Linked DNA regions of Macaca mulatta. The protein of the gene in region 3 binds, or shares a complex with, the protein of the main gene of each other region. Links are inferred from orthologs where the notes say so. Each region holds a gene or a part of one and is shown on either strand. Other genes may lie near its edges. The genes, in order: USP46, USP12 and WDR20.

The links.
Region 1: the proteins of WDR20 (region 3) and USP46 are in contact, whole or in part, in a crystal structure (PDB 6JLQ), measured with the Homo sapiens proteins. The link is inferred for Macaca mulatta from reciprocal best matches to the Homo sapiens genes WDR20 and USP46. Residues at the interface, in NP_653175.2 of Homo sapiens: Asn41, Ser42, Gly44, Arg151, Lys259, Tyr261, Phe262, Gly263, Glu282, Asp283, Asp284, Leu285, His301, Lys304, Ser305, Trp306, Gln374, Asp375, Thr376, Leu509, Arg516, Met517, His533, Glu534, Arg535; in NP_073743.2 of Homo sapiens: Asn205, Thr206, Ser207, Thr209, His210, Arg213, Arg273, Val275, Phe276, Pro277, Glu279, Leu280, Arg281, Phe283, Asp293, Met295, Gln338, Glu342, Tyr344, Thr347, Ser348.
Region 2: the proteins of WDR20 (region 3) and USP12 are in contact, whole or in part, in a crystal structure (PDB 5K1C), measured with the Homo sapiens proteins. The link is inferred for Macaca mulatta from reciprocal best matches to the Homo sapiens genes WDR20 and USP12. Residues at the interface, in NP_653175.2 of Homo sapiens: Asn41, Ser42, Gly44, Ser45, Arg151, Ser170, Lys259, Ser260, Tyr261, Phe262, Gly263, Glu282, Asp283, Asp284, Leu285, His301, Lys304, Ser305, Trp306, Gln374, Asp375, Thr376, Arg516, Met517, His533, Glu534, Arg535; in NP_872294.2 of Homo sapiens: Glu207, Asn209, Thr210, Ser211, Thr213, His214, Arg217, Arg277, Val279, Phe280, Pro281, Leu282, Glu283, Leu284, Arg285, Phe287, Asp297, Met299, Gln342, Glu345, Tyr348, Thr351, Ser352.

What each region holds. Positions count from the first base shown.
Region 1 is NC_133410.1:80,905,178-80,915,014, forward strand, and holds part of USP46 (ubiquitin carboxyl-terminal hydrolase 46), read left to right. Parts: intron 1-2,858; coding exon 2,859-2,942; intron 2,943-5,465; coding exon 5,466-5,663; intron 5,664-6,896; exon of another isoform or gene 6,897-6,994; intron 6,995-9,063; coding exon 9,064-9,142; intron 9,143-9,837. UniProt on the Homo sapiens protein: Deubiquitinating enzyme that plays a role in behavior, possibly by regulating GABA action. May act by mediating the deubiquitination of GAD1/GAD67.
Region 2 is NC_133422.1:7,150,536-7,160,839, reverse strand, and holds the end of USP12 (ubiquitin carboxyl-terminal hydrolase 12), read left to right. Parts: intron 1-2,272; coding exon 2,273-2,351; intron 2,352-3,692; coding exon 3,693-3,794; 3' UTR 3,795-6,911; downstream 6,912-10,304. UniProt on the Homo sapiens protein: Deubiquitinating enzyme that plays various roles in the regulation of the immune response and inflammation.
Region 3 is NC_133412.1:175,489,866-175,500,167, reverse strand, and holds the start of WDR20 (WD repeat-containing protein 20), read right to left. Parts: upstream 7,074-10,302; 5' UTR 7,038-7,073; coding exon 6,789-7,037; coding exon of another isoform or gene 6,753-6,788; exon of another isoform or gene 5,473-6,752; intron 3,035-5,472; exon of another isoform or gene 2,900-3,034; intron 2,587-2,899; exon of another isoform or gene 2,470-2,586; intron 1-2,469. UniProt on the Homo sapiens protein: Regulator of deubiquitinating complexes. Activates deubiquitinating activity of complexes containing USP12. Anchors at the base of the ubiquitin-contacting loop of USP12 and remotely modulates the catalytic center of the enzyme.

The DNA.
Region 1 (9,837 bases), on a different chromosome or scaffold from region 3:
GATAATTTATCCCAAGTGTGGGAGAGAGCAAGTGCCCCTCTGTCTTTCTCATTGAAGAGTTTCCTACACCACTGTTGCCCATTTTTGTTCTAACAGGTATAGAGCATTAACTGACAGCTGCTCTGCCTCAGCATTTACTGCTGGGGTCCTTCCCTTCTTCTAATTTACCTTCATTTTCTAATTCTCAACTCATGGATGCCCTAAGAGCATTACTCTGTCAGCGACCTTCTTTGTAAAATGGGTCTTTACATTAGGTATTAACTTCTGCTATATTTCCACCTGTCTGGGTGTACAAATCAAATAACTTTTTGGAAAAAATAAGAATGAGTAGGAATGAATGATTCCCTGTTTGTTGCTGGCCTTTCTTTGGCTATTGTGACCCTTTAGCTTGGTAGTACAGCTTGTCCACAGTAGACATTGGGAGGATATGAAGCTCCATAACGCCCATACTCACCTCCCTGCCTCTGGCTCCCTGGTTCCACTCCAGTCAATCCCATGCAGCCAAAACAAGATTCCACAGCACTTACTCAATTGAAGTATTCAACCAGCTAAGTATGAGTTTGTTTTATATACCACGTACTTGAAATCTGAAAGTTTAGTACATTTGCACTCTAATGGCTTTCTTGCCTTTTAGCCCTCTCCAATCCCCCCTCTACCATGCTGTCAAAAGTGGAATTTCCAAAAAGCACTACCTGATTATGTCTTTTCTTTGTTGAGACTGTTGGTTAGTGTTCATGCTGGTGTCTTGGTGGCGTATTCCAGGCTGTGTGACTTGCTGCCTGATATGATTTGGCTGTGTCTGCACCCAAATCTCATTGAATTGTAATAATTCCCACGTGTTAAAGGAGGGGCCAGGCAGAGATAATTGAATCATGGGAGCAGTTTTTCCCATACTGTTCTCGTGGTAGTGAATGAGTCTCACAAGATCTGATGGTTTTATAAATGGGAGTTCCCCTGCACATGCTCTCTCTTGCCTGCTGCCAGGTAAGACATGACTGTGCTCCTCCTTTGCCTTCTGCCGTGATTGTGAGGCCTCCCCAGCTATGTGAAACTGTGAGTTCGTTAAACCTCTTTTTCTTTATAAATTACCCAGTCTCAGATGTGTCTTTGTTAGCAGCATGAGAACAGACTAATACACCGCTGCTGCTATTCCCTACCTCCAGGCCTCTGCACTGCAGTGTTCTCTCTCTGGAGTCATTGACTCTTATTTGCTTGTTCACCTGGCACACTTTCCCTCTTTCTCTGTGCTTTCTCCTGGATTTTACACCTGCTTCTGTCTTTGTTGGTTCATTCATTCAACCAACAAATATTAATGCGTTCCATTGTGTGTCGTGCTGGGGATATAGGAATGACAAGCGCACTGCCCACATAGAGGGGAAGCAAGTAATCAAATGAACAGAAGATTGGTTTCAGATGCTGGGAAGAAATAAGACGGCAATGTGATAGGGGCTGGATAGGCTTGGACAAAGTGGCCAGAGAAGTTTTCTCCAAAGAGGGGATGTTTAGGCTGAGTGCTGAACAACCATGTTAGCCAGCCATGGAAGCTTCTGGGAGGAAGCTCTCAGTGCTGAGAAAATAGCACCTGCAAACACCCTAAGGTAAGAGGAGGATATCCCAGGGCCAGTGTGACTGAAGCAGAGAGGAGGCAGGGTGGATAAGTGCAGTGGAAACTGCTGGAGGGTTTCAGCAGGGGAATCATGTAATACTTTTTATTGAAGCTGCACTGATCGTTTCATGTTGTCAGTGGTTCATTTGCACGCATCTCTGTTGAAGTGTGAACCGTATGAGGGCAGTTATTCTCTGTGGATCCCCAGAATCTAGCCCAGAGGACTGGCAGGAAACATTTGGGGACTTAATGAATGAAAGAATCCGTGTTTTCTTTTGATGTGTTCTGTGTAAGTGGTAGAATCACCTAACACATTTTAAATAACATTTTATGTTTAATAAAATCTGGTCATTGTGGTGCTAGGACACTCTGTGAACAAGGAAATGTCCCAGAATTTTTCAAAACTGTAGGGTGTTAGTCCAGATGTTCTTTTCAGCCCTTGAAGCAGTACCACAGAAATGTTAAGTAGAATCTCGATGGCTGGAAAAGAATGAAAAACCATGACATTTAAAAAATAAAAACCATAAGTAGCAGAGTAGAACCTCAAGATAAGGCAGATACACATATGACAAACACAGTGGCTTTTGTTCTCCAAAGGGGGCAGGCAAAAGTTCATATCCTCTGGCAGGGGAGCAGTGGGGAGCAATGGTTGGTAGGAGGTGGTCATTTGATTAATTCAGGATTTCTTTAGTTCAGTAAGAGGGCAGTTTTGTATATGGTTTAAATTTCATTATCTTTACTTTCGTGCTCTTTGAAAATATGGACTACCAGAGAAATACTGTTTTTCATTAACTACACAATAATGTCACCTTGCATATTACCTGATTTCCTTTTTCGACCTAAGTTTTAGTGTTTATGGTGAGCTTTTACTCAACAGCATTTTTCTATTATGATTTTAGTTTCTAGCTTATAGGTATTCACCATTAAATCATGAGGTTTTTTTCTGAATCCAGTTGGAAACCCTAATTTGTATCTGCCTTTATATATCCCATAAATAAAACTATATTTGAATCTCTCATGGTAAATTCATGATTTGATGTAAAGAACATGTCTACCATCATAATGGCACCCAGTCTTCTTTTTATTTATCCTGTAGTTTCTCTTCCATCCTAGTTTTAAGTAGGGTTTTTTTTTTTATTACTTCTCCCATTTTTATTTAAAAATTACCCTACAGGTTAATTGAGGGATTTAAAACATGATATACCAAGTAGATTTGGACATTTTTTAAAGATGAAAATATTTTCCTCTACAGAGACTTCAGCAACACAGAAACACTGTGTAGTGAACAAAAATATTATTGTGAAACATGCTGCAGCAAACAAGAAGCCCAGAAAAGGTAGGTAAAGATTTAGCTCAGGGTTATCTTTGTGTGGTGAGAAGGTTCCAGACTGTGGGGCCCAGTAGGGTTGGCTTTGAATCAATCTCAGCTTCCTGGGCTTGTAGCCGTGGAACCTTGGGGAAGTCAATTACCCTCCTCACCAGTGAAACTGGGATAAGAACGCTGACCTTGGAGAGGACAACTTGGAGAGTTGTCTGTCCGATTGTTTACTTATTTGTTTATTCATTCAGTCATTCAGCAAATATTTGTTGAGCCCTGCCATGTGCCAGATACTATGCTAGATAAACAAGTAATGATTAAATGTAATCACTATTCTCTTGAGATTAAAGGTAAATTATATAAATACTTAGCAGAGTATATAACACATAGTAGACACCCAATATTATTTTTGTTTGTATTGCTTAAACATTGGGACCTCTTATTTAGAGACAGAAGTTTAAAAAATATATATCATTTCATAAGGACGCATGAGGAAATTATTAACACATCAGTTATAAGCATAGGTGATTAGAGGCTGGGCGCAGTGGCTCACACCCATAATCCCAGCATTTTGGGAGGCCGAGGAAGGCCAATCATTTGAGGTCAGGAGTTTGAGACCAGCCTGGTCAACATGGCGAAACCCCGTCTCTACTAAAAATACAAAAATTAGGTGGGTGTGGTGATGGGCGCCTATCGTCCTAGCTACTCGGGAGGCTGAGGCAGGAGAATCACTTGAACCCAGGAGGCAGAGGTTGCAGTGAGCTGAGATCGCACCACTGCACTGCAGCCTGAGTGACAGAGTGAGACTCCGTATCAAAAAAAAAAAAAAAAAAAGAAAAAGAACAGGTGATAAGAAAGTAAGTTATTGCACCATCTTTTCTGCACACCAGACAGTTACAGCTCTTGGAAAATCTGGAATAACCAGTTGTTCCCCATTAATCTGCTCCTACAAGCCAGGAAAGTTGCCATTTCAGTCATCCTGCAAAGGCTTCCGTGAGTTAAATCTATCGTCAGTGGTCTGGAGTATTCAAGGCAGCTGGCAGATGCTCAGTACTGCTGTCTAAAACCCTCAGGGGTTTAGACCTGAGGTTGAGATCATTTCTCTGCCCAGCCTTCCCAGGCGTTCACTCCAAACATGTACACTTTTCTTTGCTGCAAAACTTACAGATGGTTAGTCACTGTAGCAGGCAGGCCTCAAGGAGGTAGGTAGATATCTTTTGTTAGTAAAGAAGGTCACTCACGTCTGCCCCCCATCCTTATAACCGCAGTCTGCCTAAGACTGGCCTTGGGTCTTCCTTTGTGGCATTAAGATGTTTTTCGTTCAGCCCTGGGGAGTTTATACATTACAATGTCATGTGTTCCTGTAAAATATGGGGTTCCCCATAATTCTTATTTCTCTAGTGTTGTTTTACTTGCTTATTTGTATGAACAGGGCTTTTCCTTAATAGATTCCTTAAAACTATTCTTTTAAAATTTGTCCTTTTCACATACTATGCATTAAAAATGTATGCAAACTAAACGGCATTTACACTTAATTCAGTACATTCATGGAATGGGGGCCTGGAAGATAACTGGAAGACCCGTTATTCTAGCAGTATACTCTGCATAAACTGTTATCTTTGTGACTTTTTACTGAGGAATGATCAGTTACTAGGTGACTTTTTACTTTTTTTTTGTGACTTTTTACTGAGGAATGATCAGTTACTAGGTGAACGATCACCTAGTAAAAAACCTTTCTATGTTTATATAAGTTTGGGAAGTCCAACATCAAACAACAGAACAATTCCTTTACTGCAGGATTTCTCAAAATCTTCAGTGTGGTAATGTACACTTAGGATCTTCAAAGCAGAAAGTAGCATCGTCCAAACTTAGCCACAGAAACATCACATCTGTTAACATCTCCAGTGCTCTCATGCACCCAGTTTGCAAAATGTAGCCCTAAACCAACCCCTGCATTTTATAAATGAGGAAACTGAGAGCTAGAGAAGGGAAGTGACTTGCCCAAGATCACAAGGGTCGGAATGAGAGTGAGCCTGGCACGCTTGGTGTCCCAGTGCCCAAGAGTGTGTGTCAGAAGCATCCATCTCCTGCCAGTCCTCGGAACCTGTAAGTCCAGCAGTCGGCACCGTCTACCTTGTCCTCCTCCCATCTTCCTGTTCTCAAAAGCTCTCAACCCACCTCTCCATCATCTGAGGGGGTAGACTGTCCAAGTATCATTTCTCTCTGGAAGGCACAGGGCAGTGGTGGAGAACAATTGCACAACCTATTTTTATTTGTACAAAAATTCTGAAACATCTCCTTTCAACAAATAGACACACACCGTTGTACATTTCTCCTGCTGGGATGCTTCTGGGAGCCAGGAATGTAGGTTAAATCAGCTCTATATAAGCCAACATACTTTTATCCTTGCAAACTGTTTGGTTGTTTGCTGGTTTGAAGTTGGATAGAACTTCCTCGTATTCTGTTTGGGCAGGTGACAGTGTATTCTCTTCCCCTAACAGGTGTTGGGTACAACTGATTTTCTATTTCATGGTTTCTTAGGATGAGGGTAAAAAAGCTGCCCATGATCTTGGCCCTGCACCTAAAGCGGTTCAAGTACATGGAGCAGCTGCACAGATACACCAAGCTGTCTTACCGTGTGGTCTTCCCTCTGGAACTCCGGCTCTTCAACACCTCTAGTGATGCGGTGAACTTGGACCGCATGTATGACCTGGTTGCTGTGGTCGTTCACTGTGGCAGGTAAGGGCAAGACTGGAAGCAGACATACAGGGTAAGTGTAAGGGTTGCCCCTTCGCTGAAGTATATCCAGCTGCACCTTTCCTGGGCCGTGGCACTCAGTACTTTTGGGATATCTTCCAAACTCTTACTGATCATCACAAAAAATATGTAAACATGCCTGCAGACACATAAAATAAAGAGCATTCCAATAATGAAAATCTAAGTGTTCTATCATGAGAGAAATCACTTAATAAATCTCCTTTGCATGGAAATGATGGTTATGAGGAATTTGAAATAACATGGAGAAATGTCTATGCTATTATTTTAATTTTTAAAAAGCCAAGTTGCATTTATAGTATGATCTCAAAAGTATTTTAAGATGTGTAAATAAAGACTGGAAGCAGTGGATCAAGTTTAGTATTTTTTTGGCACTTTGAGTGATTAAAAATATATTCTCAAAAATATTCTTTGTTATTTTTATTCTTTCCCCAACATTCTGTAATAAGTATATAATCAGAAAAAAAGATAAGAGAGAGAAGGCCTCTAGATATGGAAAGGCAAAGCATTTTGCCGAAATCCTTTGAGCAGATTTTTTTTTTTTTTTTTTTTTTTTTTGAGACAGAGTCTCGCTCTGTCCCCCAGGCTGGAGTGCAGTGGCACGATCTCGGCTCACTGCAAGCTCCGTCTCCTGGGTTCAGGCCATTCTCCTGCCTCAGCCTCCCGAGTAGCTGGGACTACAGGCGCCTGCCACCGCGCTGGCTAATTTTTTGTATTTTTAGTAGAGACGGGGTTTCACCGTGGTCTCGATCTCCTGACCTTGTGATCCGCCCGCCTCGGCCTCCCAAAGTGTGAGCAGATATTTTTTATTCCATAATTTGGTATAAGGGAAGAAAAATATATTGAAAATTTACCTGTTTGTTATTCTTTGCTCAGCTGGGACAGGTGTATGTTCTGTCTTGGGAGTAGGCACAGCTTTCCCCCGCCCTCGTAGGTTTTAGATTGGGGCGTGTCACAGAGTAAGAGTCTTTCTCCGCCATCTGCTAAAATCGGATTATGGTGAACACACCATTACCAGGAGACTACCATTGCCATGCACAGGAATAGACTGATACATTTTTAATTGTGTACTAGGGTAGATGGCATCAGAAACTGTAACTTTACATGTGAAGCACCCCATATTTTATCCTGCACGTATTAACTTTAAGTCACTGGATGTTTTCTTGTATTCTCAGTAAAATGGTATTTATTTGCTAGTTATATGCCAGTTTTGTGGTGTTCTCCCTGAAGAAGAGCTGTTATTCTTTTGAAGAACACAGTGTTTCAGTGACCTGGAACCTAGCCTTGAGCACTGGGTGAGGCCTCACATTGGTGCAGGGTTCAGGAAGGTCTTAAGGCAGGCAGAGCCTGGGACCTGGTGGGCATTGTGGCTAAAGTGGGTGGCAGGGGTGGTGTGAACAGGAGGGCCCCTTGCACAGGGTACACAGGACTTTCAGTGTGGGTCTCTGTGGGTGCCCAATTCAAATCCTTGGGAGGACTGGCAGAGACCCAGGTGAGGGAACTGGACGTCCAGCGGGAGGCTGGGTTCTCTAAGGTCAGTTTCTGTACTGTGAGCACAAGGTCAGAAGAGCCCTGGTAGCAGAAATCAGTTGGTGCCAAGTCATGCATGCCACTAACTAGGATTCTTCAAACTCCTCCCCACAGAAGTAGCATTGTTCTCCTGTGTGGAGCAGGGTTGGCCTATGCATGTGGATTGGGTGGCTTCCAGGTAGCACTGGAAAGCTTTGAGGTTAGGGAGCTGGGCCTGCCTTCCCTTCCATGCCAGGAAGGCAGGCCCACAGTTGCAACAGGTGCATAGCCTCATGCATTGATTTCTGCTGCAAGTTTTTTTTTAAGCTCATATTTTCTGGGTTCCATGCCAGGATCTGAAGATAGAGTAACGAAAAGACACACAGCACAGGGGCCCTGCCCTCACAAAATTTATAATCTATCTGGAAAGACTGATAATGAACAAGTAAACACACTGCCCTGCTACCTCCAAAAACAAACCATTGCAAGATAATTTGATTTTGATCAGTGCTATCAGGAATAAACAGGGAGATGAGTGAGTGATGGGAAATACCTCTTCAGGTGAGGTGGTCAGCAGAGATTTATCTGGGGAGGTGACATTTGAGCTGAGGGCTAAAAAGAATGCAGTTGGGGGAGGATTATCTCTGGCAGAGTTTACAGCAATGCAAAGGCCCGTAATGTGAAGGGGGTGGCGTGTGAGAGGAGCCCGATGGGCTGGAGCTCAGAGGGAAAGGGAGACAGTAGCTGGAGGAGGCTGGAGAAAGGGCAGGAACAGATCATTGGCATCATCTTGTGTTGAAAGAGGGTAAACAAAGGGGAAAGTTTGGCTTTTTCAACTTTAACAGTGCGTTAAAAAACAGTTTTAGGTTTAGGATTAAAATCTCCTCACTCGTGCAAATCTAACCTAACTACATAGTGACAGCTGCTTAGTTGTCCTTTCTGCTTTTTTCCGTATAGCATAGTATATGGCTTTTTAACACTTGTTACTATGCTTATTGGTTTGTTAATGTCTTTCTAAAACACAGATCATGCAACTCCTCAAAATTCCCATTTCTTCCTGGCTTGCTCGAAGCAAAGCCTAAAATCTTACTTGCGATTCCTACACCTGCCCCTCAGCCCCCTCCGGTCTTCCCCTCCTCGCTCACTCTGCTGCTCTGGCCTCCTTTGGCCTCTCTGCTGTTCCTGAAGACACCAAGTGCTACTCACTCACCCCAGGTGTTTGCACTTGCTATTCCCTATTTCTGAAACTTCCATCCCAGAGTCACATGGCTTCTCCCCATGCCCTGACCCCAACCCCACCCCTACCCCTACCCCTGCCATTTCCTTCAGGGAAATTTCCTTCTGCTCACATTATCAAAGTGGCCTCCCTTCACTTTCCATCAAACATTACCTCCTCCCATCACTCATATCCCATTACCCTGCTTCATCCTTCTCCGTGACACTTCTCACCGCTTGACATACATTTATAACTTTAGTTTGTATATTGCCAATCTGGCCCCTACCCCAAGTCCTAAGTAAGTGAGGTCTTTGTTTTGTTCACTGCTTCTTCCCCTGACAGATAGAATAGGGCCTGGCACAGAATAGGTAGAGAGTAATTTTTTGTTAATATTTACTGAATTTGAGTGTCTGTTTTTGCTGCTGGATTATGAGTCCTCAGAAGACATCTCTTCTGTCCACTTTTGTATTCCCGTGTCCAGCTTAGTGTTGTGAACATAGACATCAGCTGTATTCCAAGTTCTTTATGCTGATGACATAGTTTGTTTCCCAGAGAATCACTGCGTATAAAGAGCTAAGTAGAGTTTTATAAAGAGATAAATGTTAACTTGCTGACTTTCTTTTAATTGTTCTTTTCCAGTGGTCCTAATCGTGGGCATTATATCACTATCGTGAAAAGTCACGGCTTCTGGCTTTTATTTGATGATGACATTGTAGAGGTTGGTTTGCAGATTATTCTCCAGTAGTCATAGAGCATCAATAGTATTTCAGGGAACGTATACGTATAGATGTTTTCTAAAATAGGCCTCTTTCCCCATAATGTAATTTGAAAACAACTTAAATTTCTATTCAAAACCAAATTCTGCGAATCCCCATGCTCCATGGAAAGGGAGAAGGGGTGTGATCACGGACTTACCGACAAGTGTTCTCTACGGTTCAGCCATAGACACGGGGTCTCTCTATCTGTGCCACCGTAAATCATACTTAAGTATAAGTCTTGTTTCTATCATGACTAAAGCCCCCTCTGATACAGGGCAAACAATAGACTTCAAAGTTCTATTAAAATTATTTTATTATAACAAATTTTTCTTGTATCGATTATTGTTTATTTTTTTCAGTCTGTTGGATCTGGAAATCTTTATATTACACCAATACATTCTATGTATTGACTTTGTTATAAAAGAATACTAGCTGGAATGAATTCTACACTCAAAGACATGATCTATTTTAACCCACTAGGGTAGCAGTTTTAGTGGAATAACACTAAAAGTGGAATAACACTAAACTCTGGTGGCCGGAAAGACTTAAGGCTATTTCCAGGACCCATCAGTTTACCATCTGGGAGATGTCTTGTCTTGTTCTTCAATGAGTGCCCACACAGGGTTGCTAATGCATGAAGGCGTTGCCTACTTTC
Region 2 (10,304 bases), on a different chromosome or scaffold from region 3:
AACTTGAACTCCACAGTCAGTTAAAGCATGTTCTCACAAGCACTGTAAAATCCTCTTGCCAGCTGTCTGAATCCCTACTGTCAGAATTGTTGCAGAAAATTGCAGAGAGATGGTTATTGACTTTCCTCACAGCCCTGGTGGTCTGCCTTCACTGGGAACTCACTTCTGGTGGAGTTCTGCACAGTAGGTCTTTGGGATCCCGCCCCTACCCCGGGGTCTTACTCTCTCCTGTCTCACTCTCATTGCCTCATGCCTTCCTGCCTCTTCTCTCTGGAAGTCTTCCTTGACGCTCTTCTGCCCAGCCTCAGTCTCCACGTGTTGTCTTCACATAAATACTAGATGTGCAGTGCTAGCCCTGTCTTAGTGCTTTGTGTACTGTCTTAGGATGTATGTCTGCTTCCCTTATGAGAACAGGTGCTTTTTAAAACAGGAGATAATTTGCTCGCTAATAAAAGATAATCATATTTTAGAATATTTTTCCATTGTGTATTTTATTTGTCAGACTTATTTGTAGATTTGCTTCATATGAAAGTGTGGAGGGTGTGCACAGCCTCATTATCAGCATGTCAGTTCCAGTTCAGCTTGCTCCTTCTCTATCCCTGGTTCCCAGCCTAGAAGAGACTTCTAGCAAATGTTTGTTGACTAAGTATTACCCTTCAAGCCCATGTCAGAACTGGGCTCCGATTCTTGATTTCCCATCCTTCTCTCCCTTCCACCTCCTCTCTTGCTGGATACGGTCTCTCCTGTGGCTCTACTTTTATATCATATTCTGCCTTGGATTATGTTTTTGGAGTAGCTATCTCTGTACTGAAGGGGTATTTGGGCAAGCAGTTGTTGAAATCTCTTTAATCTCCACAGCAGTCAGTAGTTACTTGCATACATTAGGCATTTATATCTGCTCAACTGAGTGTGTTTAATGTCCAGAAATCAGATGCCTAAGAAACAGCTTCCTTAGGTGGAAGTTCAGCCCTTCATCTCTCATTTCATTTTTAGTTTATGAAATTAACTTTTGTCTACTGTTCTTCAAACTAGTTCTTTGCCAAAGGAAAAAGCCGCCTAACTTTTCTCAATTTACTAGTTCTCACCCCACCCACCTCCTTTCCTTCCATCCTGTGTTCCTCAGCCTTTCTTTGATTTTTCTTGATTTCACCTTTTATAATTTTGTTTTCATTTCTGACCCTCTCCCCATAACACACAAGACCCTTTAGATGAGTCCTAAATAAATATAGAAATAGACTTAATAAAGCATTAAATGCTTTTTAAAAAGAAAGTTTTGAGGTGTCATCCTCCATAGTTTAAAAAAAATAATGTTTTTGTTGGTGTCATTCTGTCACCTAAGGTATTTATCTTACCTACAAGATCAAATGATCTGAGAAACATAAGACATTTTAGGAGGTGGCTTATTCTAATAATCTGGTCACTACTTTTAAAATAGTGTTTAGCGTAAGGAATAATTTGTATTGAAAAGGATTTCAAATTCTGTATTAATTATAGAATTACAAAGAATAAATATAACTATATAAGCCTTTATAATGAACCGTACTTAAACTGGAAGAGGTTAAAACCTTTGTCATATCCTTTTATAAAACAAAGAATTGCTTTTGAAAGAAATTATGCCTCCTTTATTTTTATGCATGTCTACATTTATATATTCCAGATTTGTTTAAAATGAGATGCAAGGGCAATCATAGTAATAGTTATAATGGTATTAAGAATTAGGTACTTCGTATTGACTCACCATTGAGCAAAGGTCATTTGCTTTTAAAGACATTTTGTGAAGTTCAGGCTTGATTTTGGAACCAAGGATTTGATATCCTTGCCTGTTTCAAGCATCATGTTGGATCTTTCCTCAAGAAAAAAAACTATTACCAAGGGAGTGAGGCTTAGAAATAATTCTTGTATGCATTGTTTTATAGTTGAATTCAGCATGTTCTGCTGTGATCCCCTCCCTTATAAAATGATAGAAAACCTTGTCTTTTATTATAGAAGCAAAATTGAAAACTATTACAAAGACAGGAAAGAATTTCAATAATGCAGCTTTATGTGAATAGAATCTCTTAGAGTACTAATTATTTGATTTTAAAATTGATTACCAGTTCAACTCAGTGTAGCTTTATCTTTTTTGGAAAGAATAGTTAAGGGGTATAAAAAAGAAGCAGTTCTTTTTTACTGCTATTTGTTTCAGTTTCTCTATAAAACATAAAATTTAGAGCATGAAAGAGTAATATTAATAAATATCATATTAAATTAACTTCTTTTTTGTTTGTTTTAGTGGTCCCAATCGAGGCCATTATATTGCAATAGTTAAGAGTCATGATTTTTGGTTGTTGTTTGATGACGACATTGTAGAAGTAAGTAGTTTCTTAATCTCTTATTTTTGAAAGTTTTATGCATATGTTGCTTTTCACTATTTTCTGATAGTTTCTCATTTAGATATGACTGGTGATGATTATGAGACAAATGTCTGGGTCTATGGATTGTAGTCTGATTCCTACTTCTTACTCTACAACGTCCAAGCCCAACAGTTGAGTGGTCACGTAACCTTTACACACGTGGAATAAAACAAAGGAAAGCTTTCAACAACAGACCTGACTTTAAAAAAAAAAAATTAAGCCATGTAACATACATACAGTAAAGTGTACAAGTCTGAATTTGATGAATTTGTATATGTGTGTCCCCCCGTCACACACAGCCACACAGACACACTCACATTTGTAACTACCATCCAGGTCAAGATATAATTCATTTTCAACACCACAGCAGGCCCCCTTGTTCCTCCTTCTGGTCAGAACTTAAGCTTCCTCCTGGAGCCTGCTATTTGGACTTTTATCATTAATTTTGCCTAGGCTTGAATATAAATGGACTCATACAGTATGATTTTGTTTGTGTCAGACTTTATTCACTGAATATATTTGTGAGGTGCATTCTTGTTGCCTGCAGTAATGGCAGTTCTTTTTTACTGCTTTGTCATTCTGTACTGTACAAATATACCAAGTTAGAAATTTGACCTTTTGTCAGTTAATGACTATTGTGAATTAAAATGCATTGGTCATCTTTTACAAGCCTTTTGCTAGACGTATACACTCATTTTTCTTGGGTATATGTTAGGTTGGACCACTAGAAGTTGCCTTTTTGTTTTTTTGGGAGACAGAGTCTTGTTATCTAGGCTTCTGGAGTGCGAGGGTGCGATCTCGGCTCACCGCCACCTCCAGCTCCTGGGTTCAAGTGAATCTCCTGCCTCAGCCTCCCGAGTAGCTGGGATTACAGGCATGCACCACCATGCCTGGCTAATTTTGTATTTTTGGTAGAGACGGGCTTTCTCCACGTTGGTCAGGCTGGTCTTGAACTTCTAACCCCAGGTGATCCGCCAGCCTTGGCCTCCCACAGTGCTGGCATTACAGGCGTGAATCACTGTGCCCGGCCTGGAAGTTGCCATTTTGTAGGTCCAAAATAGTTATTAGTGGTTTCATATAATTCATCCTATATCTAGAAGTAGAATTGCTGGATCAAAGGGTAGTTGTATGTTCAGCTTTAGAAGATAGGTATTTCTAAACATTTTTTCAGAGTGCCCTGCCAGCTATGTATGAGAGTTCCATTTTCCCCAAATACTTGGTATTATCAGTCTATTAAATTTAAGCCATCTGACTGTACAGAGCTCATTTATGTACTAATGTTTACATTTTGCCTCACAGAAAATAGATGCACAGGCTATTGAAGAATTCTACGGGTTGACATCAGATATCTCAAAGAACTCTGAGTCTGGTTACATCCTTTTCTATCAGTCTCGGGACTGAGGGGGAACCGTGATGAAGAGATACTTTCTGCCTCATTTCTCCTCTGGTTATTTTGGAAAGGATCAAGCACTGATTTTTCAAGAAAAGAGAAATGCAGGAAGCTCAGGGGGCAGTAGCACACTTTGCACACGATAAAGCAAAGACGATGGATTGACAAGCCCTTCCGATCATGGTAGTTGATTTATTTGCTCAGGTATCATGCTGTCTGTACAGTTCCATTCAACAAGGAGGTGAAATCAGAGATACCAGCTCCTCTTGTAAAACAGCCTTCCAGTCATTGACACGCATTTTCTCTTTATTAATTGCACCAATAATGCTTTGAATTCCTTGGGAGTGCAGTAGAAAGAATCGGGATCTGTGCTGTATTGATAAGGAGGTGATGTCGAACACACTGCATAAATTTGCCTGGTTCAATGTGTATAGAAGCATATTCGGTGTCTTTTCAAGAGTCAACCAGAAATACTTTTGGGCCCAACACTTGCAGTTGCCTTCCTGATGTAAAACCTAACATGCTAGATAATCCAGTGTCGGGAAGACAAAGATGTTTTGCTTCTCTGAAGAAGCTTATAATAATATACAGTGTATGTATATGTAGGGAGCAATTGGTCAAAAGTGGCTTTTTGTTTCCCCAAGGGGAAAGACTGGCTTTGTAATTATAATTTTTTCCTTATTTATTTTACTTAAAACTGGTAGAGTCTAAGTATTGTATGAAGTGCCCATGATTCTGTCAGTAAATTTGAACATATTTTTATCAGTTAATGTCAGTTTAAGTAGTCCTTTTGTTTGTTTCTATTTTTAAGGTGAATTTTAAATTCTATCTGAAATCAGTAAGATACCTTGAGAAAAACTGCAGTGAGAGGAGGTAAATATCCTTTTTCAGGAGGAACTGATATCTCTGGCTAAGTATTTGTCCTTTTGTTATGGTTTCTAAATCAGTTATTTTCTTCAGCTTTAATTTCATAAAATTAAAAAACTATAAAAAAATTCCTGTAGTTGTTGGAATAATTAAAAATTCTGGTGCAGTGGTGGTATACCAATCTTTAGAATTCTTAAGTATTCTAATGTTTCAAGTTGAGGTCATGCTTGGAATATCTTGTCATAGCATTTATGTTATTTTCAGATGTCATTTTTTTACCCTGGAAAGAAGTAATAATGTTCATCATAACCCTAGCAGCCTGGATAGTGAGCTAAACAAACCCTTTGAAGATTAAATTTTAATCAAGTAGACTAGGAATACAAAAAACAAGTCCTTCCTCCCCTTCCCCGCACCTTTACAATCTTACTGGAAGGGTGTTCAGAAATTAAAATTTGTGTTTGCTAAGACTTCATTCTGTTGGGGGTTTTAAGAAATAATATATGTAACATAAAATGTATGCAAACCGTCGCAGTTTTTTTGGACGGTTTTCCATGCATCAGAAAGTTGTCTGACAGTAGCCGAATGTAACTTGCAGAAAATTATTGAAAATTATATTCAGAATAATAGCAATCAGGCCTTGGATGTTCTTTATTAAATTCTTTTCAGGCAGTAAATTTAAAAAAAAAATTGTCATTTGCTAAAGTTCTTTTGCTAAAACTGATGACTATGGAAAACAAACAACAAAAAGGAATTTTTTAGTCTGCTGCTATTATTAACATTTATTATCTGTATCTTTTGGCTCAGGAAATGACTTCACCTATTTGTTCCATAAGCAGACCTTTAACAGGGTCACTTAGGTAATTGGGCTGCTTAAACACATGTGCTGGGAGAAAATTATAATAATAGTATTTGTACTAAATATCAAAAGTATTTTGACAAGTTTCTTTTTAAGATAGTTTCTAAAGCCTTACCCTGGCTAGAGATGTTTTGTACAAATTATATATAGCCAGCCTTATCTACCAACATGCCACAGAGAATCACAATCAACAATGTGGGGAAAGTCAGGGCAGTGAAAGTGGATGCGCTCTTTTTATTTTGAGGGCTTAAACCAAATTGTCTTGGAATTAAAGCTGTATTTCTGCAGCTTTCAGTACAGAGAAAAAGAGGTAAGTGAAGCTGTGTCAGTTTTAACATGAGCTATATCACAACATGTTTAAGAAAAGATAGATGAAGTCATTTGCATAAAGGTACAGCATTGAAATACTACGTTGTGTTTGTTTTTACATTTTTGCATTAAAGAAAAAACATGCAGTAAAAGCCAAGTTACATTTCATATTAAAGCAAGTTCTAGTATATGTGTTGAGTTCCTGGTAATCACATACTTATTCACATCTACATCATACTTCATAGTATGATTTGTCAGGGGAGGGACTGTGGGGTCACAGTTTTACATTTACTTTTTCTTCTTAATGCAGCTGGATCTAAGTAAAATGTTTTGAAGAAACTCAATATACTTTTAAAACATTTAGGGTCAGGGTTGGGGGAAAAATACAGGTATAGTAAGTAAGAAAAGTGACCCATGAAGAAAGCATTGTGAGGTTGTATGTTAGTTGACTGTGATTAAAATGCAGGGCTGGTTTAAGTTGTAAATGGTGGCCGATTGCTATGTAACTATGTACATGATTATTGGGATGGCTGTCCCATATTTTGTATATTGGAATAAAAATTTCTATAAATTATTGTAACTAAAAGTAAATATTCTAAATTAAATCCCACTTCTTAAGTCACATGGCTTCTGTCTTGGAAATTTTACCTTTAAAAGATTATTTAAGACAGGAACCAGGAGGCTTGGGAACAGGGAAAGAAGGAAATGTTGTATTATTTGGGTCTTGGGGCCTCTAACCATCAGTATAGGGTTTTTTCTTTCCTTGATGGCAGTAGAAAGACCTCATTTTCATAACTACTCTTGATACTTTCTTTAAAAACACTTTTTATTAAAGATTCTATCATGAGGTATTTGGGAGCTGGGAGGCTAAAGCGCTCATGTCCTGGCTCTTCAGTGAATTTAACTGTGTGACCTTGGGCAAGTCACTTAACCTCTCTGTGCTTCAGTCTCCCTGTCTTGTAAAATGGGAGTAATACCTACCTCACAGGGTTGTTGTGGGGATTAATTAGAGATAATGTCTGTAAAGCATTTAAGGTTCTTGAAGAAGGCGCTATATAAATATAAAATAATATCTATTAAAGTTGGTTTATTTGTGCCTGTGGGTTTTAAGTGTGTTTTTTCCTTTTTGCCTAAAATGTATTTACAGATTAGAAGTGGACACTTCGGAAATTGTGCTACTACTTTTGCCCAAGCTCCTACTTCTGTATCCAAAGAGATTTTCCCTAGGACAGAATTGCATGTGTGTAAAACAACGTTCTACATGTGCCTGCATTTATTTAGCACATAGTAGCTTGTATCATGTTTCTGTGATAGCATGTCTTTGCAAAGTTCAAAGTTTAAATTTGAAAATTGAGAGTCATAGAATCTTAGAGGATAAAACAGGTAAAATACCTTAAAGGTTACTGTTTCTCCTGCTCCTCCTCTTTTCCTGTGTGGTAATTGCTCCTGTAAAATCTGTTTCACAAGTGGTCAGTCAGCCTGCACTTGAGTGCTGGAAGCCGGTTCCGTTACTGAGTAACTTGAATTGTTACTTACGTTGCCATTATTTTCAGTCCATCCTTCATTCTCCCAGTGTGCCTCTGATCTCAAGGCTGATCTTTGTATCAGGTGGCTTTCCAAGACTTCATCCTTCCTGGGAGCCCTGTTCTGGAAGCACTGTTTTTCATTCATGTCTCTGAAAGAGTGTGCCTAGAACAAGCACAGTGACAGGTGAACTATACTGTCAGTTGGACCTGCGATCGCATTCTCTTTTCTAAGCATCTGTATCACACACTTCTTATGGAACTTTTAGTAAATGAAATCCTCTATACCTGAAAGTTTTTCATGAACTGTTGAAAAGCTGAGAGTCCCTTGCCACAAACTTTTTTTCATGATTCCCCGTTACCAGTACCTGTGCCTGTTAACATGTCAAAGTTTTCCCCATCTCTCTTCAGTCATGTGTTTTCTGTAATAACCGTGTCTCTGTTCTGTCTGCAGAGCTACTGAAATAACAACCCATTGCTTTTGGGTGATAGCCTGCTATGTGATGGCCCCTGTGCTCGGTATTTTACTTCTTTTAATGTTAATCTTAACCACATCTATGAGACAGTGACATCCTCATTTTACAAAAGAAGAATCTACGGTTCTTTAGAGGTTAAGTACCTTTTTAGAGCCACTCAGCTGGAAAGTAGCAGGTCCAGGTTTCAAGTAGGTGTAACTCCAGTGTCCAAGCCCTTAACCATGGCTATCCTTACCAAGAGATTTGTTGTTGTGGTGGTGGTAAAATAACCTAAAAATTACTATTTTAGTCATTTTTAAGCGTCCAGTTAAGTGACAGTACATTCGCGATGTGCAAATACCACTGCCATCCATTTCCAGAATTCTTTTCATTGTCCCAAACAGGAACTCTGTACCCATTAAATAGTCATTCCCCATACTTCTTCCCTTCCCGCGGCCTCTGTGAACCTGCATTCTGCTTCCTCCCCTCCCCACTTCCTCCCTTCCTCCCCTCCTTCCTTCCTCCCTTCCTGCCTTCTTCCCTCCCTTCCTCCCCAGGGTCCCATTCCCACCCAGGCTGGAGTGCAGTAGCACAATCACAGTGGCTCACTACAATCTCAAATTTCTAGGCTCAGGTGCACCTCCTGCCTCAGCCTCTCAAGTACCTGGGATTATAGGCATGTGCCACCACACCTAGCTAATTTTTAAATATTTTGTAGTGGTGGGGGTATCACGATGTTACGCAGGCTGCTCTCACCTCCTGGGCTCAAGTAGTCGTCCCACTTCAGCCTCCCAAAGTGCTGGGATTACAGGTGTGAGCCTCCTCACCTGGCCTAATTTTTTTTGTTGTTGTCTTTGCTTTTGGTATGTCTTAAGAAAGCATCACCAAATCCAATGTCATGAAACTTTTTCCCTGTGTTTTCTTCTAAGAGTATTATTTTAGCTCTTACATTTAGGTCTTTGATCCATTTTGAGTTAATTTTAGTATTTTAGTATGTGATGTAAGGGTCAATTTCATTCTTTTGCATGTTGGTACCCGCTGTTCCCAGCACCACTTACTGAAAAGACTCCTTTTCCCAATGAATGAGGTGCCAAAATCAGTTGGCCATGTATGCTAGGGTTTATTTCAGGACTCTCTTTTGTCCCATTTGTCTGTTTATCTGACCTTAGCCAGTACCACACTATTTTGATTAATGTAGCTTTGTAGTAAGTTCTGAAGTAAGGAAGTATGAGTCTTCCAACTTTGTTCTTTTTCACGATCATTTTCGCTACTTAAGGCCCCTCGAAGTTTCATGCGAATCTTAGTTTTTTCTGTTTATGCAAAAATTGTCAGTGGGATTTTCAAAGATTACATTTAATCTTTAGATTGCTTTGGGTAGTGTTTGACAATAGATTAAATTCTATGCCTATAATCCCAGGTACTTGATAGGAAGATTAAATTGACTTAACAATTTTAAGTCTAGTCTGTGAACACTGGTGTCTTTCCATTTATTTAGGTCTTTAAGTTCTTTGAACAATGTTTTGTTGTTTTTATTGTACAGGTCTGTTGAGTATTTTATTATTGATCTATTACAAATGGGATTATTTTCTTAATTTCCTCTTAGGATAGTTCATTGTATATAGAAATGCAACTGATACTTGCTTGTTGGTTTTGTGTCCTGCAACTTTGCTGAATAATTAGCTTTATTAGTTTTTTTTTGGTGTGGAATCTTTAAGGTTTTCTATGTATAAGATCATGCCATTTGCTAACAGATAATTCTTCTTTGTTTTCAAAAATTTTTTTTTAATTTTTTTTTTTTTTTTTTTTTTGAGGTGGAGTCTCACTCTGTTGCCCAGGCTGGAGTGCAGTGGCATGATCTCAGCTCGCTGCAACCTTCACCTCCCAGGTTCAAGCAATTCTGCCTCAGCCTCCCGAGTAACTGGGACTACAGACGCTTGCCACCACACCCGTCTAATTTGTGTATTTTTAGTAGAGATGGGGTTTCACCATGTTGGCCAGGCTGGTCTCAAACTCCTGACCTCAGGTGATCCACCTGCCTTAGCCTCCCAAAGTGCTGGGATTGCAGACGTGAGCCATCGCGCCTGGCCTGTTTTCAAATTTGGATGACTTTTATTGTTTTGCCTAATTGCTCTAGCTAGAACTTTCAATATTACATTGAATAGAAGTGGTGGAAGTAGGCATTCTTGTCTTGTACTTTTAGAGGAGAAGCTTTTAGTCTTTTACTATAGTACAGTACTATCTGTGGGTGTTTAATACATGGCCTTTATCATGTTTCTATTTCAGTTTGGGTGTGGCTTTTTTTAAATCAAGGGTATTGAATTTTGTCAAATTTTCTGTATCAATTGAAATGATCACGTGTTTTCTTACATTATGCTGTTTCTCATATGTGAAACTATCCTTGTATTCTAGGGATAAATCCATTTGGTTATTGTGCATAATACTTTTAGTATGCTCCTGAATTCAGCTTGCTAGTATTTTGTTGACAATTTTTTCATCAATATTGATCAGAGA
Region 3 (10,302 bases):
AAAAGGGGAGAAGGATGTGAACACGAACCTCTCTGAAGCAGTGAAGTATCTAAAACCAGTCTGTTAGGGGGACAATTTTTTTTTTTTTTTTTTTTTAGACGGAGTCTTGCTCTGTCGCCCAGGCTGGTTTTTTGTATTTTTTAGTGGAGACGGGGTTTCACCATGTTAGCCAGGATGGTCTCGATCTCCTGACTTCGTGATCCGCCCGTCTCGGCCTCCCAAAGTGCTGGGATTACAGGCTTGAGCCACCGCGCCCGGCCCGGGAAAATTTTTTTTAAAGGCATCTAGTTCACCCTCCCACACAAAACAGGAATTCCTCCAATGTCACCAACAGGTGGTCCTGCAGTTTTTGACAAAGAGACAGAACATTTCCCATATGAGCATTCCCATAACAGAACGCTCATTCTCTCTCAAGTCAACCCATTACCTTCTTCTTTAAATAGAATCTAAAAATACTTCAGCTTTTATGAACTGACTCTTCTTCTGGCCCCAACTTCATCTCAGCATCATGAACATAAAGCTCTTCTAGTCGGGCGTGGTGGCTCATGCCTGTAATCCCCAGCACTTTGGGAGGCTGAGGAGGGTGGATCACGAGGTCAGGAGTCCAAGACCAGCCTGGCCAAGATGCTGAAACCCCGTCTCTACTAAATATACAAAAATTAGCTGGGCATGGTGGCAAGCGCCTATAATCCCAGTTACTTCGGAGGCTGAGACAGGAGAATCACTTAAAACCCGGGTGCTAGAGGTTGCAATGAGCCAAGATCAAGCCACTGCACTCCAGCCTGGGCGACAGAGCAAGACTTCGTCTCAAAAAAAAAAAAACTCTTCTAGCATAAAGACCTAAAAATCACAATGTTTTCAGCTTGCTTTCCCAAACACCCCACCCCTCTCAATTCCAAATCAAGTAGGCAATGAATCAAAGAGATGAAGACATCTCTCCAATAGAATGATGAATCCATTTTCACTAAAAAAAAAAAAAAAAAAAAAACCTGAGCACAGAATCATACAACCTTTAGAGTTGGAAAAACCTTAGAACCCTCTAAATTTACTTCCTACCTCCTGTAGTTATCACTTCAGTAACTTCTCTGGGCAGTACATTTGTGGCCTGGAATCTTAAGATGTGGGGAGGTAGGAAGGTTCTTTGGCTTGAATGTTAAGTCATTCTGAGTATAGTTTTTGTTTATTATTGATTGTTTTGGCTTTTTTTGAAACAGGCTCTCACTCTGTTGCCCAGGCTGGAGTGCAGTGGCACAATTACAGCTCACTGCAGCCTCAACCTCCCCAGTTCAAGTGACCTTCCCAACTCAGCCTTCCAAGTAGCTGGGACAAGAGGCACATGACACCACGCCCACCCTTGTAGAGACAGGGTTTCACTATGTTGCCCAGGCTGGTCTCAAACCCACATGAGGTTTCACTGTGTTGCCCAGGCTGGACTCCTGCAATCCTCCTGCCTCGGCCTCCCAAAGGGTTAGGATTACAGGTTTGAGCCACCACTCCTGGCCTGAGTACAGTTTTTAAAAGTTGTACATGGATCTTGTAGGTGACATAGTTTGACAGAAGTAGATCAAAAGTAATCTGTATCAATTGTTTACTATTACTTCATTGTCTCTTATACAATTTCCCTATTTTAAGAAGGTTAAATTTGTTACTTACTAGCAATATTTTTAAATGTCTTTTAAAAGATATGAGCTATTAAAAAATACCCAAGTTACTTTCGGGCCCAAAATTGAATAGGTTTTTCAGCTTCTAAAGATCTCTTTCAAGTTTGGCATAGACATGGCTTTACTCAGTCATCTACTCAACAAATACACAGTAAGGGCCTAACTCTAAACTGGACACTGCACTGGGCATTGAGAAGATGGAGAGAAGGAAAGATAAGGTCACTATTCTAAGGGAGCTTTGTTTACAGAAGGCACAATTGCCTCATCACACAGAATTACAAATTCAGAAAAGTGCTAGGAAGGCAAAGTACAGGATGCTCTAAGAACACATACACATAATAGGGCCTGTAATCACAGTACTTTGGGAGGCTGAGGCGGGTGAATCACTTGAGGCCAGGAGTTCCAGACCAGCCTGGCCAACATGGCAAAACCCTGTCTCTATTAAAATACAAAAATGAGCCAGGCACAGTGGCGCATGCCTGTAATCCCAGCTACTCAAGAGGCTGAAGCATAAGAATCACTTGGGCCCAGGCAGCAGAGGATGCAGTGAGCCCCCAGCCTGGGTAACAGAGCAAGACTCTGCCTCAAAAAACAAAACAAAACAAAAAACCATGTAATAGAGGAAAACTGTTACACCATGGGGATTCAAAGCAAAATTTCCTGAGGAAGTGATGGTTAAGCTGAGATCTGAATGGAGGCCATTCGTATTTATGTAAAAACAGAGATCCATAAAATGAGAAGAGAGGATTGGTCCAATAAGCCCAGCTACCTTACCTTTGGCATCTTTTATCCTATATCCTAAAAACAACCTTTTTTTTTTTTTTTTTTTGAGACAGAGTCTAGCTCTGTCGCCCAGGCTGGAGTACAGCGGTATGATCTCGGCTCACTGCAACCTCCACCTCCCAGGTTCAAGCGATTTTCCCGCCTTGGCCTCCCGAGTAGCTGGGACTATAGGTGAGCACCACCACGCCCAGCTAATTTTGTATTTTTAGTAAAGACGGGGTTTTACCATGTTGGCCAGGCTGGTCTCAAACTCCTGATCTCAGGTGACCTACCCGCCTCGGCCTCCCAAAGTGCTGAGATTACAGGCGTGAGCCACGGCGCGCAGCCCCGCTCCCCCTTTTTGTTGTTTTAAAAACAGGGTCTCATTCTGTTGCCCAGGTTGGGGTGCAGTGGCACAATTATAGCTCACTGTAACCTTAACTCTTGGGCTCAAGAGCCCTCCTCAGCTTCCCAAGTAGCTGTGACTACAGGCACATACCACCATGCCCAGCTAATTTTTTTTTTTTTTTTTTTTTTTTTTTTTTTTTTTGTAGACACAGGGTATTGATATGTTATCCAGGCTGGTCTCAAACTTCTGGGCTCAAGCGATCCTCCCACCTCAGCCTCCCAAAGTGCTGGGATTACAGGCGTGAGCCACTGCACCAGACCACAACTTCTTTTTTAAAAAAAGAAGAACAAAGTATGTAATAAAGATGTCTGAAAGCTAGTAATTGAAAGTCTTTTGGGGAGAGGGACAGGGTCTTATTTAGCTCTGAATACCTCACATCACCTTGCCTAGTATCGTTACTATCACAGTAGTCACTCAAATCTGGTGAAATGATTAGTGTCAGTATTAAATCAACGTTAATACTGTCTTTAGTTAAATAAATTTGCCAAACTACATCTCCTCACATAAGAAACCCCATTTTAAACTTCCTCAATTGTGAAAAGATGTTTTAATCTACCTCAAGAATTTAATAAAATAATACATGGCAAAATGCCGAGGTAGATTCTATAAGTTCTTGGAATATATGATATCCCTGTGATCAAAAAGCCGGATCAGTCTCTTCTAAGATAGTTTAGACTCAGCTGTGCTTCATTTTCCTTACTATGAGAAAAAATTCTAACAGGTTTGCATCCCCTCTCTGGCCTCGGTTCTCTGACGAGGGTGAAATAACAAACTCTAAAGTTCCTTCTAACTCCAGACACCTGTAAACCTTTTAAAAGGCTCAAGATTGCAACTCCTTAGCATGAATGTTAGACTACTTCCTCACCTACTCCATTTCCCCAGGACCCCATGTTTTTTCTCAGGAAAGGTAGCACGTAATTCATGATTTAAGTTCTTTAAAACACCTATTTTCTACTCATTTTACACGCAGACTTAAGTTGAATTTATACATCTAAATTAGATCTTCTGAATAATCCAAATAATTATTGTAGGCCGGGCGCGGTGGCTCAAGCCTGTAATCCCAGCACTTTGGGAGGCCGAGACGGGCGGATAACGAGGTCAGGAGATCGAGACCATCCTGGCTAACCCAGTGAAACCCCATCTCTACTAAAAAATACAAAAAACTAGCCGGGCGAGGTGGCGGGCGCCTGTAGTCCCAGCTACTCGGGAGGCTGAAGCAGGAGAATGGCGTAAACCCGGGAGGCGGAGCTTGCAATGAGCTGAGATCCGGCCACTGCACTCCAGCCTGGGCGACAGAGCGAGACTCCGTCTCAAAAAAAAAAAAAAAAAAAAAAAAAAAAACAGCCAACTGTGCTCTGGGTGTGGTGGGTCACATCTATAACCTCAGCACTTTAGCAGGCTGAGGTGGGAGGATCGCTTGAGGCCAGGAGTTCAAGACCAGCCTGGGCAACACGGCAAGACCTCCATCTCTAAAAAACATTTTTTTGTTTTTAATTAGCCAGGCATGGTGGTGCACACCTGTAGTTCCAGCCACTAGGAAGGCTGAAGTGAGAAGATCATCTGAGCCCAGGAGTTTGAGGCTGTAGTGAACTATAAGCATGCCACCGCACTCCAGCCTAGGCAACAGAATGAGATCCTGTCTCTAAAAACAAAAATAAAAACATGTTTAATGGCCATCGGTCAAAAATAGGTTTATAACTACTAACTCTAAAGAGTAAATCTTGGTTTTCCAATTAAGGAAAATTTATTTCCTATATTTTAAATCAGAAAATAGCCACAAAAAATCACTTACACTCAGAAGTAACAATAAATGCAAACTCATTAATGGAAAAAAAATTTTAAGTTACAATTAAAAGAGAGCAGAAACATCTGCAACATAATGCAAATGTATCTATGATACTACCACATGAAAATGAAATTTGACCCAAAAAAACGTTAAAACACTCAAATTATGCAGGTAAGGGCAATTTACGTATTTCAGATTTATCTTGTTTAAAATAATTTTTTGGTGTAGTTTTAAAAGCCTTGCCTCCTTTTACCCTTCAGAGAATAGCGTCCCACTAAAAGAGAACACTATTGTAAGGATCCTTTCAGGCAAGAAACTTGTCTTTATGATGTAAACCAGGGCTACCAGATCCAGATAAGGTTTGCCATTAGGATGCTTCAGAAGTAATAACCTTCAAAGAAAAAAAAATTTTAAAGTAATTCCTGCATTAATAATTGCTAGTTAGTGAATTTAGTTTTTAAGCACATTGTATTTTTATATAAATTTTTAAAACTTAAAATTCTAAACTTAATTTCCAGAAACAAAATCAATCCTTTCACTCTGAACATCAACGTCAAGACGGCAGCTTCTTATTTGACAGTTACTTAGTATTTCTTTAACTATATTTTACATCTACTGAGTGTTTCAGAGCCTTAAAATTCATTACGATTATTATATTATTAGTTACAACGTGCACTGTAACATTCCCTTTTTAAAGAGGTGCAAATAGAAGTTAAATAACTTATCCAAGGTCACCCAACAAGTCAGTGACAAAGTTGGGAGTAGGAGTAAAACTTCAGCCCCTAGACTGAAGACTACTTCAAGCGTTTGCAATTCCAAAAGAGGGAGAAAAAAAAAAAAAAAAAAAAAAAAAGGTCAAGCGATTTACCCTCAATAACTTCTAATAGTATACTCTAAATACAGTGGTACACTTATTATCATAAACACTAATAAAAAAGATTCACCGTGAATGAAAGAAACAACTTTGCTACATTTAGATACCACTGTCATTTCCCTAGCTCTTGTAACAAGCGAAAATCCTGCACTGGATCTGGCTATATGAAATCCTAGGGAATGTTCACTCTTCAATATGAACAATTTATTTTCATGCTAACATGCATTTGCGAATTAATCTTTTATCACCTTGTCCTATTTGGAGGTGCTGTGGGATGCATTTATTTCCTCACTCTTCCATAACATCAAGTCAAAGACTACAATCTCAAAACTAAGCAATTCTCAGTGAAAACACAGTTACATAGCCAATGAAAGAAAAGCTCTAATAAATGGCTGCTTTTAAAGAGATACTTTTAAAGGATGCTTATATGCTTCAGAGCATTACTGGTAACTCGCCCGCCAAGAAGGATGGTCCCTTTAAAGTAGCCTTTAAGGCATTATCCCTCCCCGTTTGGGACACAGTCTGACTTGTTGGACAAGACTAATCTGGGCACTCTCACACACAACCCCTCTGAACCAGCTTAGTTCATTGCAAACATCATTTCAACTGTAGTACTCAGCCCTTCGCATACTACAAGGGACAAGATGACTCTCCTTAACAGTCTTTCAGAACGTCCCCTCGGCGGACACTGACAGCCGACCTCCCGCGGATGTTTTTGGAAATAGAAATGTTAACACCAGGAGAGGCTCCTAGGAAGTGTCAGTGCGGCAGCAGGTGGAGTAGCCCTGCGTGCCGAGCAGGTTCTTTCTGACCTAGTCTCAGTCTCCGGCTTCCCGGCCCCAGTTCCGCCTTACAGAGATCTTGTTAAGCCGTCTTGCGCCCCTGTTCTCTAACCCAGGGCGAGACTTCCAACCCTCCAGGGAGGCGAGGCAATCGAAGCAGACAAGACGGCCACCCCATCTCTTCCGGGGACTCGCAGGCCCGCTCCCTGGCCATGTCAGAGCCTGATGGACCAGGCTGGAGGGGACGCAGCCGGCTCCCCTGGGAGCCTCCCAGCCAGAACCCCGCGTCCCACGGTTCCTTTCCACAGCCCCCACCCCTTCGAAATGCCACCGCCACCACCCTCCTTACTCCTGAATCCCCTCTCCTCAGGAGTACCCCAGTGGAGGGAGTTACCGGCCCACTCAAAAGTAAGAGCGACGGCCACCCCCTCGGTCACCCTGGCCCCACTGTCACCGCCCTGCTCCCGCCTCTGCCTACGCCGCTGGCTGACCCCGGTGACGCCCGGGTCGGTACCTTGCGGACCCCCTTGTAGATATAGAAGTAGAGCTCCCGGCCCACATTGAAGCAGAGGCGGTCGCCGTTGCCAGACTGGTCGTTGAGGTTTACGAAGGAGACGCGGACAGGGTTGGATCCCTGCGAGTTGAAGGGCACCCGGTTGGGCCGGCTGTACTCCGAGTGTGGCAGCAGCTTGTACAGACCTTCCCGGGTGGTGAATTGGGTCTTAATCTCGTTCATCTCCTTCCCTCCTCCCTCCGTCGCCATCTTGGAAAGCAGCGTTCATCCTGCCCTAAGTGCCCGGATCACGCCCACCGCGCAGGCGCTGTTCCCGGTGCTCCCTCTTCCCCCACCCCTTGCCTTTTCCTTGTCGCCCCTCCCACCCGCGGGCCAGCCCCGCGAAGGCGGGCCGAAGGGAAGGGGCGGGCTTGTTTACGGCCCGACTGCGCAGGCGTGCTCACCTGGCGTGCTCCACCCGGCTGGGCGTCCGCAGGCTCCTCCCCCGGGCGTGGCCTCCGGGCGGCCCGGCTGCTTCCCAGGTGATGTTGGTTCCAGCCGGTGGGGTCTAGTTGACGGTTCCGCAGCCACTAGGACCAACGGAAAGCCGATCATGGGGAACCGCGGCGGGGCTGGTGTCAGGAGCCTGAGGTGAACTTGAGGGTGCTTCCTCAGCGGTCTCCCCCCCTGCCCTGAGGGGCGCCGGGACCCCAAAGAGCGGAGGAAGAGCGCCACCCCGACTGCCACCGCTTCGGGGCCAGCACGCGGGGTACCCTACAGGGAGCGCGGATGCCCCTGTGTTCGGGCGGGGACGGCTCCACCCCTCCTGGGCCCTCCCTTCGGGACGGGGACTGTCCCGCCCAGAGAGAGTGCTGACTACCCGCGCGACCGTCTTGATCCCCGGTCAGGAAGCAAGCCCCTTGGAAGCCTCCTCGCCGCCGTTTCTGAGAAGGTACCGAAGTACTCAAGATTTACGCTTCACTATGTTTTATTTCAGGCCGGGTAGGGGTAGAGAAGAATGTGGTACAGCATGAATATCCTAATTCCTATGTGTGGTGAGCACTGGCGGCCTCCGCTTCTTAGCGGAGGTTTGTCCTTTCCAACTGTTCAGAGACACGCGGCGGGGAAGCGCTCTGGGAACCGGGGACTGAATCTATGCAGGATTCACTTCTCTTGCTCAGTAGTTTACGAAGAGCTCTTAATAAAATTTAAGGTAATTGGTTTTTTTTTTCCAGAAGCCTCAGGTGGAGTCAGTGAGATTATTTACTAGGAGATCCATAGGGATAGTTGTATGCATGTAATGTACAGGGTCTAGATTTGTAAGAACGGGCACACGTGTCAAAGTAAGATTAAACAATCACTATTTTATACCTGGGTTTCTTGGCATGTTGCACCAGAATAGGAAAGTTTCTAAAGTGACAGAAACATTCTAATAGAATTCCAGGGAGGAGGGAAGCCAACATCTGTAACACCAAGAATCAACTATTCCTGAAAGTTCAGATTATATCTTGAGGGACACAAAAGAAGTGAATGGAGGGAATTTCTAAAGTAGGAGGAATCTAAATCATAAACATCTTCTGTATTATAAAGCAAATAGATACCAATAGAAACTGTGCCAGTGATGTAATAATACATTTGCATTGTGTTGGAAAAAAAAGAAAAAAAAGCACTGAAGTCCTACTTAATTAATAGAGCCTTAGAAATGCTTAAAATTTTTTCTTAGAATTGTTTCGATGTTATCCGACTTTCCCTAAAAGTCAAATCGAGATCAGAAATCTTAGTACACCAAGGTATGTTCTGTGGTTCCCATGGCTAGATCCCAAACTCCATAACTGTGCTATTTTACATTGAAAACACATATTTTACAATAATCAACCTGAAGGATAGTGACATCTTGAATCTTCTAAAAATAATTTATCTGTATTTCCTAATTATCAAGAGGAAAAAAGTGTAATAATATTTTGGGGGGAAAAGGCCAGGCGCAGTGGCTCACACCTGTAATCCCAGCACTTTGGGAGGCTGAGGTCAGGAGATCAAGACCATCCTGGCTAACATGGTGAAACCCCGTGTCTACTAAAAACACAAAAAAATTAGCCGGGCATGGTGGCAGGGGCCTGTAGTCCCAGCTACTTGGGAGGCAGAGGCAGGAGAATGGCGTGAACCCGGGAGGCGGAGCTTGCAGTGAGCCGAGATCGCGCCACTGCACGCCAACCTGGGCAACAGAGCCAGACTCTGTCTCAAAATATATATATATATATATATATATATATATATGTGTGTGTGTGTGTGTATATATATATATGTGTGTGTGTGTATATATATATGTGTGTGTGTGTGTGTGTATATATATATATATATATATGTGTGTGTATATATATGGGGGAAAAAAACCCAGTAAGCAAAAGTTAAAACAAAATTTTGTATTATTCCTTAATTAACCACAACATTCTATTTCCCATAATACCTATGTAATCTAAGCATTCTATCAAGATTTACCATATATAAATTCAACATTTTATTACAATCACAGTAATAGACTATTCACTTTGTCTCATGCATAGCCTTTGGTTTTTTTTTCTTTTTTTTTGGACGGAGCCTTGCTCTGTTACCAGGCTGGAGTGCAGTGATGTGATCTCAGCTCACTGCAACCTCTGCCTCCCAGGTTCAAGTGATCCTCCTGCTTCAGCCTCCCGAGTAGCTCAGACTACAGATGTGCACCACCATGCCCAACTAATTTTTGTATTTTTGGTAGAGATGAGGTTTTACCATGTTGGCCAAGATAGTCTTGACCTCTTGACCTTGTGATCTGCCCTCCTTGGCCTCCCAAAGTGCTGGGATTACAGGCATGAGCCACTGTACCCGACCCCAGGCATAGCCTTTGAATAATCTCTGTTTTTATTCTTTTTCTCTCGTAGCTTTCTTCCCCCATATTCAAAGATTCAATAAGTAACACCCAAAACTAAATAACTAGGCCTGAATGGCCAGGCATGTTGGCTCATGCCTGTAATCCCAGCACTTTGGGAGGCCGAGGCGGGCAGATCACGAGGTCAGGAGTATGAGATCGCCTGGCCAACATGATGAAACCCCATCTCTACTAAAAATACAAAAATTAGCCAGGCGTGGTGACACATGTCTGTAATCCCAGCTGCTCGGGAGGCTGAGGCAAGAGAATTGCTTGAACCCAGGAGGTGGAGGTTGCAATGAGCCGAGATCTCACCACTGCACTCCAGCCTGGGCGACAGAACGAGACTCCATCTCGGGAAATAAATAAATAAGTAGATAATAAATAAACGGGCCTGACCTAATTTTATTTCTGATTTTCAATTTCAAACCGAGAATTTATTTTTATTTTTATTTTATTTATTTATTTTTTTTGAGACGGAGTCTGGCTCTGTCACCCAGGCTGGAGTGCAGTGGCGCGATCTCGGCTCACTGCAAGCTCCGCCTCCTGGGTTTACGCCATTCTGCCTCAGCCTCCCGAGTAGCTGGGACTACAGGCGCCCGCCACCTCGCCCGGCTAGTTTTTTGTATTTTT